Rhinolophus ferrumequinum: one gene and its partner. Each later gene encodes a partner of the first gene's protein in a complex. Links are inferred from orthologs where the notes say so. Each region holds a gene or a part of one and is shown in the gene's direction. Other genes may lie near its edges.

What was found.
Region 2: the proteins of FLT3 (region 1) and FLT3LG are in contact, whole or in part, in a crystal structure (PDB 7QDP), measured with the Homo sapiens proteins. The link is inferred for Rhinolophus ferrumequinum from reciprocal best matches to the Homo sapiens genes FLT3 and FLT3LG. Residues at the interface, in NP_004110.2 of Homo sapiens: Asp180, His279, Gly280, Phe281, Gly282, Met300, Ser301, Thr302, Tyr303, Asn306, Arg307, Met309, Arg311, Ser333; in NP_001191431.1 of Homo sapiens: His34, Ser35, Pro36, Ile37, Ser38, Ser39, Asp40, Lys44, Lys87, Glu99, Asn102, Thr103, Glu104, His106, Phe107.

Annotation. Positions count from the first base shown.
Region 1 is NC_046287.1:100,000,078-100,003,992, reverse strand, and holds the start of FLT3 (receptor-type tyrosine-protein kinase FLT3), read left to right. Parts: upstream 1-1,429; 5' UTR 1,430-1,631; coding exon 1,632-1,674; intron 1,675-3,915. UniProt on the Homo sapiens protein: Tyrosine-protein kinase that acts as a cell-surface receptor for the cytokine FLT3LG and regulates differentiation, proliferation and survival of hematopoietic progenitor cells and of dendritic cells.
Region 2 is NC_046298.1:44,623,697-44,627,611, forward strand, and holds the start of FLT3LG (fms-related tyrosine kinase 3 ligand), read left to right. Parts: upstream 1-1,347; 5' UTR 1,348-2,167; intron 2,168-2,633; exon of another isoform or gene 2,634-2,782; coding exon of another isoform or gene 2,783-2,796; intron 2,797-2,975; exon of another isoform or gene 2,976-3,089; intron 3,090-3,406; coding exon of another isoform or gene 3,407-3,440; coding exon 3,441-3,473; intron 3,474-3,915. UniProt on the Homo sapiens protein: Stimulates the proliferation of early hematopoietic cells by activating FLT3. Synergizes well with a number of other colony stimulating factors and interleukins. Required for the development of B cells, and dendritic cells (DCs).

The DNA of each region.
Region 1 (3,915 bases):
AGTGGTATTAATTATATTCACATACTGTTGTGCAACCAATCTCTAGAGCCTCTTTGTCTTGCAAAATTGAAGCTCTGTCCTCACTTAATAACCACTCTCTACTCCCTCTGCCTCCAACCCCTGGCAACCAAGCTTCTACTTTCTTTCTCTATGGATTTGACTACTCTAGGTACCTTATATAAGTAGAGTCATACGGTTTTTGTCTTTTTGTGCCTGGCTTAATTCACTTAGCACGTCCTCAAGGTTCCTCCATGTTGTAGTTTCCTCCCTGTTTAAGGCTGAATAATAGTCCATTGTATGGATATACTAATTTTTTTATCCATTTATCCAATTTTGTTTATCCATTTATCTTTGGATGGACATCTGGGTTGCCTGCACCTTTTGCCTATTGTGAATAATGTTGCTATGAATATAGGTTCACAAATATCTGTTTATGACCCTGCTTTCAGTACTTTTGGGTACATACGAGAATTAGTGTATCATATGGTAATTTTATTTTTAATTTTTTTGAGGAACTGCCATATTGCCACTACGGTGGCTGCATCATAGTAGACACTTTAAAGTTTCTGTCATGCCTGCGGGGTAGGGGAAGGTCTATTATTTTTCTATAGACTACAGTAGTGAAAAAGGGTTGTATGGCCGAGAGTGAACATTGTCAATTATCATGCTTTATTAGAAAATGATTAAAATAATTAAAAGCCTGGAAATCCTAGAATTTGGAGACACATTATAAACCATTGGATCCATTCCCCTCCTTTCCAGGTGATTAAAGTGGGACTCTGAGAAGGCAATGGCTTGTGAAGGTCAAAACGCTGCTTAACAAGAGTCAGAACTGGCATCCACAGCTTTCCAATCTTCAATTTATTGCAAATAAAATAAATTTCAACTTGAAATACTATGTAATGAAGAACAAGAACTACGGAGTGGATAATTCAAAACATCCTCTGGGATGCACTGTCAGTGTTTTGCTTTTGTTTCTATGGCAGGTTCTAGCCCCCGAATTGCCTGGGTTGACATTGAAACAGCCTGTTTTTCTTGCTGCCACTGCTGGCTGGGTCCTGGGCATCCTAGGAGACGGAGGGGGAGACAAAGGAAACCAGCGGGCAGTCAGGATTCACCGAGCGCGGAACGCGACCCTCTGCTGGCCTGCGCGCTGGCCAGAGCCGCGGGTGGAGCGCGGTTTATCTCCCATCCTGGGGCCTCAAAGACCTGTCCCCGTGCTCCAGGATCCAAACGAGAACGTTCAGGGACTCGCGGGGTAAGGCCGGTCTTGCCGTGCCTCCTCCCCACCCGGAGCGGCAGAGCCCTTGCTACTGCCCGGGCGAAACGATGCCCAATCCCCGCCGCCACCGCCGGGGAGCCCCGGGAGCGCGGAACGCGGGCTGCGGACACGGCGGGCACGTGGGCTCGGCCGAAGAGCTGCGCCGGCTCTGCCCAACCTCTGCTCGCCTGCCTCGGCCCCTGCGGGTGGGGAGAGGGATCCTCCCCCCTTCCACTTTGCACCAGTCCGAGGGAATTTGCGGTCGGTGACGCGCATCCTTAAGCGAGCCACCTGCAGCGCGGGGCGCGCCGCTCTGGGCGGCATCGCAGGCTGGGCCGGCGCGGCCTGGGGACCCCGGGCTCCGGAGGCCATGCCGGCGTTGACGCGCCGCGGCGGCCGGCTGCCGCTGCTCGGTAAGACCCTGCCCGCCCGCTCGTGGCCCCCATAGCCCCCGGCGCGGCCTCAGCCGCCAGCCCGCACGGTGGCCTGGCGCGCGCCTCCAGGTCCCCACCGCTGCGTTCCTCCCCGCGCCCGCGCCCCTCCCCTATGTTGCGCCCTCCCGACTCGCCCTCAACTGGCTCGCGGCCCCCGTCCTGCCCACCCCATATCCTCCTGCCTCTTCTCTAAAGTCGCTGCCCGGCTCGGGTCGCGTCCGGATCTGCGGCCCGGACTCCGCGGGCGGCCTCGCCGAGGCGCTGCCCCGGGCCGGGGCCGCTCCGCCGCCTGCGCTCCCGCTCGGTTCGGGTGCTGGGCCATCCGCCAGCGTCTGGGACCCCCAGGCTGGCGCCGGTTGGCTCGGGACCTCGCCAGGACCGACCCTGGATATCGTAGGCTCCCGGGTGGCGTCTTTCAGCTCTTCTTTTGGGGTTTTTATGTGTGGAGTGAACTCTGATTGGAAAATTCGCCCGCGTTTTCCCGAAGAGACTCATTCGTAATAACGACCCCTACCCACGCCAAGTTTCGGTTGGGTCAACGAGTAGTGACTTTGGAAATGTTATGCAAAGAGGATTTGCATATTAAAATACTAGCTGCCCCTTCCTCCTCTACTGGATTTTTATCCTGGCATTAAACCCCAAGGGAGTTTTCAAGGACTCAGGTGACGGTTCCCAAATAATCTGCTGGGTAGCATAGTGATTACTACTAAATAAATAAATAAATAAATAAATAAACAAATAAATAAATAACCCTTTCTAAAAGATCCACTCCATCCGTTTGGAAAGATGAGATGGTTGACTCTGGAGTTTGGGATGAAGGAGACAGAGTTCTGGGAGACCGAGAGCCTCGGGTCCCTTATTCTCCTTCTACAGTCTTGGAAGCGGCACCCACAGCTCCCACATTCTAGGGTTCTAACTTAAGGTCTCTGTGGTAAAGAGAGAAAAGATTTCCGATATAGACGTGCAGGAAGTATGTCCAAAGCTGTTGTTACACATCATTCAGAATTACAGAGTAAGAAACGTAACATAAGGAGGAAAGAAGTGGGAAAACAGACAGTTTGCATTTCTGAAACAGATTTACTAGTTGGTAAATAGGTACATTTCAAATGCATAGTACAATATGTTTTTCAGTCTATGAATAAAAAGAGTTAACTTTCTGTTAGGTATGACACCGATAAGTGAGTTTTTCGGTGGCACACAAAGGCTTTGGAAAAGTAAAGATCAGTATTTGCAACTATATTTAAGCTGCATTGAATTCTTTATTTAGGAATGAGCCCCCAGATTTTGACATCTCTCTCCAGATTTTTGTAAATGAGGTATAATTTGCATATAGCAAATATGCACAAATCTTAACAGTGCAACTTCATTAGTTTTTACATACAGGTATGTATGTACCCACATAATCACTGTTGGACCAAGTTTTGAGCAAGTCTAGCTCCGCCCTGTTTCAGTCAGTACCCTGCAAACGTAGCCACTATTTCGACTTCTTATACCATTGGTTTGCCTGTTTTTGAACTTCATGTAAACCAGACCACCATGATATACTCTTTTATGTCCAGATTCTTTCACTCAATATTGTGATTAGGAGATTCAACCTTGTTCTCAGCAGCAGTGGTAATTTTTTTAATTGCTGGGTACTAGTCCTTAATATGAATATACTATACAACTTATCCATTCTCTTGTTGAACATGTAAGTTATTTTCAGTTTTGTGTAATATGAATAATAGTGCTGTGAACATTCTTTGGCACATTTTTTGGTGGACATGAACTCCCATTTCTCCTAGGATGATACCCACGAGTATTATAGGGGAAGGTGTATATTCAGTTTTGTTGGACTCTGTCCAACAGTTTTTCATAGTGGTCGTACCAGTTTACATTCCCACTGGCAGTATATGGGGGTTTCCAGTCCCTCGCATCACTGCCAACACCCAGTAGTACAGATTTTTTTTAATAAAGAAACACAAAATGAGGAGCTTAAAAGTGAGGGCTTTAAAACGTGTAAAAGCTTTGTCTAACCACAATGCTGTACACCCAAAAGTAATATAAAACATTATTGAATAGCAACCATAATGGAAAAATTTAAAAATGTCTAAAAGCTCTAAATTCCTGAAAGTATAATATTCGATCCCCATTTCCCTGATATTGTAAGCTCTACCTTTCATGAATAATGAATGCTGAGTCTTTCTAAGAAGTATGTACAGAAATGTACTGGCCATGGCC
Region 2 (3,915 bases), on another chromosome or scaffold:
ATGGAGCTTATGTTCTAGTGGGTGAAAGGTGTATTAGTTTCCTGTCACTGCTGTAACAAATTACCACAGTCAATGGCTTAAATGAAACAAGAGTATTATAATTTTGGAGGTCAGAAGTCTGACATGGGTTTCACTGAGCGAAAATCAAGGTGTCAGCAGAGGCTGGGATTTGTCTCAAGGGCACTAGGGAGCCATAGAGGGTCTGTGATCAGAGGAGAGGTAGGCTCAACTCTGGTTGAAAGACAGACATAACCTAAGGTGATGTGTACTATAATAGAGGACGGTCAGGGTACTCTGGGGGCCCAGAGTAGGCACCATACCTAGCCTGACTGTGTGTGTGTGTGCGTGTGCGCACGTGTGTGTACGTGTGCACTCATGTTCATGTGGGATGAGGGTGAGAGAGGTGGTGGGAATCTTCCCAAGGACCATGCTATTTACACTGAGGGTTTTTGTTTTTCTAGTTTTGTTGAGGTATGATTGACAAAATTGTATATATTTCCATTGTACAATATGCTTTTTTAAGGTGTGCAACCTGATGCTTTAATATACATAGCATTGTGAAATGGTTACCATAATCAGGTTAATTATGCATATGACGTCACATAATTACCTTTGTGTGTGTGTGTGTGAGAACACTTAAGATCTCTCAGCAACTTGCAAGTGTGCAATACAGAATACGTATCATTAACTATAGTCACCGTGTTGTACATCACGTCCCCAGCACTTACTCATTTTCTAAATGGAAGTTTGTATTCTTTGACCGACATCTCCCCATTTCCCCCACACCTCCAACCCCTGGCAACCACCGTTCTACTCTTTGGTTCTGAGTCTGACTTTTCCACAGGGAAGTGAGATCAAACAGTGTTTGTCTTTCTCTGTCTGCTTTATTTCACTTAGCATAATGTCCTCCAGGTTCATCCATGTTGTTACAAATGGTAGTATTTCCTTTTCGTGGCTGAAGAATATATATGTATGTTATGTATATATTATAATGTCACATCTTTCTCCATGCCTCAGTGGACACTTAGGTTGTTTCCATGTCTTAACTGTTGTAAATAATGCTGCAGTGAACATGGAGTGCAGAAACCCCTAAGGATCCTGATTTCATTTCCTTTGGATAAATACCCAGATGTGGGATTGCTGGATCATGTGGTAGTTTTAATTTTTTGAGGAATCTCCATACTGTTTTCCACGGTGGCTGCATCATTTTACATTCCCACCAACAGTGCACAAGGGTTCCTTTTTTCCACACCCTCACCAACACTTGTTATTTCCTGTCTTTTTTATAATCTTTCTACAGATGTGAGGTGGTATCTCATTGTGGTTTTGATTTTCATTTCCCTGATGATTAGTGATTGCATTGAGTCTAGAAGTACAATGAGTATCTGATTAGGCTAGAAAAGTGGCAGAGAGCATCCCAGGCAGAGGGAACAGCACGTACAAAGGCCCACAGGTGGGAAACAGCTTTGGGGGAACTCTAGTGGGCTGAATAGTGGTCCCCCAAAAGATATGTTCGCATCCTCATCACTTGAACCTATGAATGTGACATTTGGAAAAACAGTCTTTTCAGATGTAATTCAGTTAAGGATCCTGAGAGAAGATCATCCTGGGTTATCCAAGTGGGACCTAAATCTAATGACAGGTGTCCTTACAAGAGACAGAAGGGGAGAAGACACAAGAGGACAAAGCCAAGAGGCAGAGGTGGAAATCAGTGTCTAGCCTGCTCCCCTTTCCTGGAGGTTGGAGGTGGGAGGTCCACAAGTTAGGATATCCTATGTCTTAAAGCCCAACCCCTTTAATCTTGCGTTGGTCTTTCTTGCCTGCCCAACCCCCATCCTGAGTCACCTCATTAGCATAAACTCAGGTGATTTCAGGGGGCCCCTCAGGAATAACAAAGACACTCCTATCACTTATCTGGGAAAGTCTGAGGACTTCAGAGGTGGTCTCCTAGGAACCAGAGACAAAGACCAGACATGTTCTCTTTTAAACTACAATAATGAAGAAGGAAAGAGGCCAGGATCCATTTATTCATTCAACAAAGATTGATTGAACACCTGCTCTGAGCCAAGCACAGTTCTAGGTGCTGGAGATCCAGCAGAATAAACAGACGCCCACCGTGGTTCTCCTGGAGCTGACGTCCCCGTGGGGAAAACTGACAATGAAGAAGGTAAGTAAAGTGCTTGGTATGTCAGAAGGTGATATATAAGTGACAAGGGAGAGACCAAAGCAGGAGTGCAATTTGAAAAAGGGTGGTGGGGAAGGCTCTGCCTGTGTGTGTGAGCAAAGGCCTGAATGGGATGGGGGGGGGGAGGTTTGAGCCCTGTGGGCATCTGGAGGGGAGGGCATTCAGGCTAAGGGAATGGCAGTGCAAAGGCCCTGGGGCCAGAGTGTGCCTACCCCAGGCACCGCCAGGAGGCCAGGGCAGAGAAGGAACCCGGCTAGATCTTTCAGGTCTGTTTGGGCCTCACTGAGAACTTGGTCTTTTAATCAGAATGTGGTGGGAGATGGGAGGATTTGGAGCAGAGGTGGGGTGTGAGCTGACTTAGATCTTCATAAGCTCCCTCTGGCGAGATATGAATAACAGAGGTGAGGAGGCCACTGTGATACTCAGGTGGGAGATAATGGTGGCTGACCCCGGGTGATGGCAGCGGAGGTGGAGAACTGATCGGATTCTGGATGCATTTGGACGGTCAGCCAACAGATTTGCGAATGGACTGGACTATGCGTGGGCAGTGAGAAACAGTCACAAGTCCACGCCAAGACTTTGGGGTTCAAGGAGAAGATGAGGGGCTCAAGGTGACCTCCTCCTTGCCATATGTGCATTGGTTCTAACTGGAGACAGATCCGGGTTCGAACCCCAAGTCCCCATTCACTGTGTGTCCTACCCCGGGAGTTTACCCAAACTCAGCCCCCCAGGACGAGGCACCCTTCTTCGCGGTGTGAGCCGCTACCTATCACCACCAGGTGGCGTCCCAGGACTCAACCAGATCCACCCCAACTCATTTATCTCCCCCCAAAATATTCTTTCACTTTCGATCTCTGGCTGTCACTCGGCCTGGCCCTTTCCACACCCAGCTGGGGCAAGCCTGGTGCGGGAGGAGACATGAACTACGGGTCCCCGAGGGGCGGGGCCGGGGTCCCCCTCCTGGGGCTGAGGGAGGAGGGGTGGGGGTCAGGTTCCTGGGTCCTTGCCTGGGGAGTGTTCCGGGGACCGGACGTCGGGGTTCTTAGAAGGAGAGATGCGGAGTTTTCACCGTAACTGGGGCGCATGCAGGAAGCCCGAGGGAGAAAGAGGCAGAAACTTGACCACATCAAGGGGCCAAGGGAGGGGTAGGGAGGTTAAGGGGCGGGAGAGGAAGGGACTGGGGTGTGGGGGTCCAAGACTTGCTCTTCTGTCCCTTGCAAGATCTGGCCACAGGCATGAGGGGCCCCCGGCCGAGATGACAGTGCTGCTGCCAGCCTGGAACCCAACAGTGCGTATACCTGGGGGACAAAGTAGGGGAAAGGCAGGGCAGTGTCAAGATGGGCAGAGCTGAGAGGGGAGGTGCAGAAAAGTGGGGAGATGGACAGGGGGAGGAGGGGCGGCTAGAGATGGAGGGAGATGGACAGAGATGGGGAGATGGACCGGAGTGGGGGAGATGGATAGAGGTAGAGGGAGACAGATGAGTGGAGAGAGATGGACAGAAGTGGGAGAGACAGACAGGTAGGGGAGGTGGATGGAGATGGAGGGACATGGACCGGGTGGGGGGAGATGAACTGAAGTGGAGGGAGATGGACAGAAGTGGGGGAGATGGACAGAGGTGGGAAGAGATGGACAGGGGTTGGGGGAAGAAACAGGGAGGTGGGTACAAATGGGGAAGATGGGACCCCAATGGAGAGATGAGCACAGAACGGCAGAGGGGTACACAGAGAAGA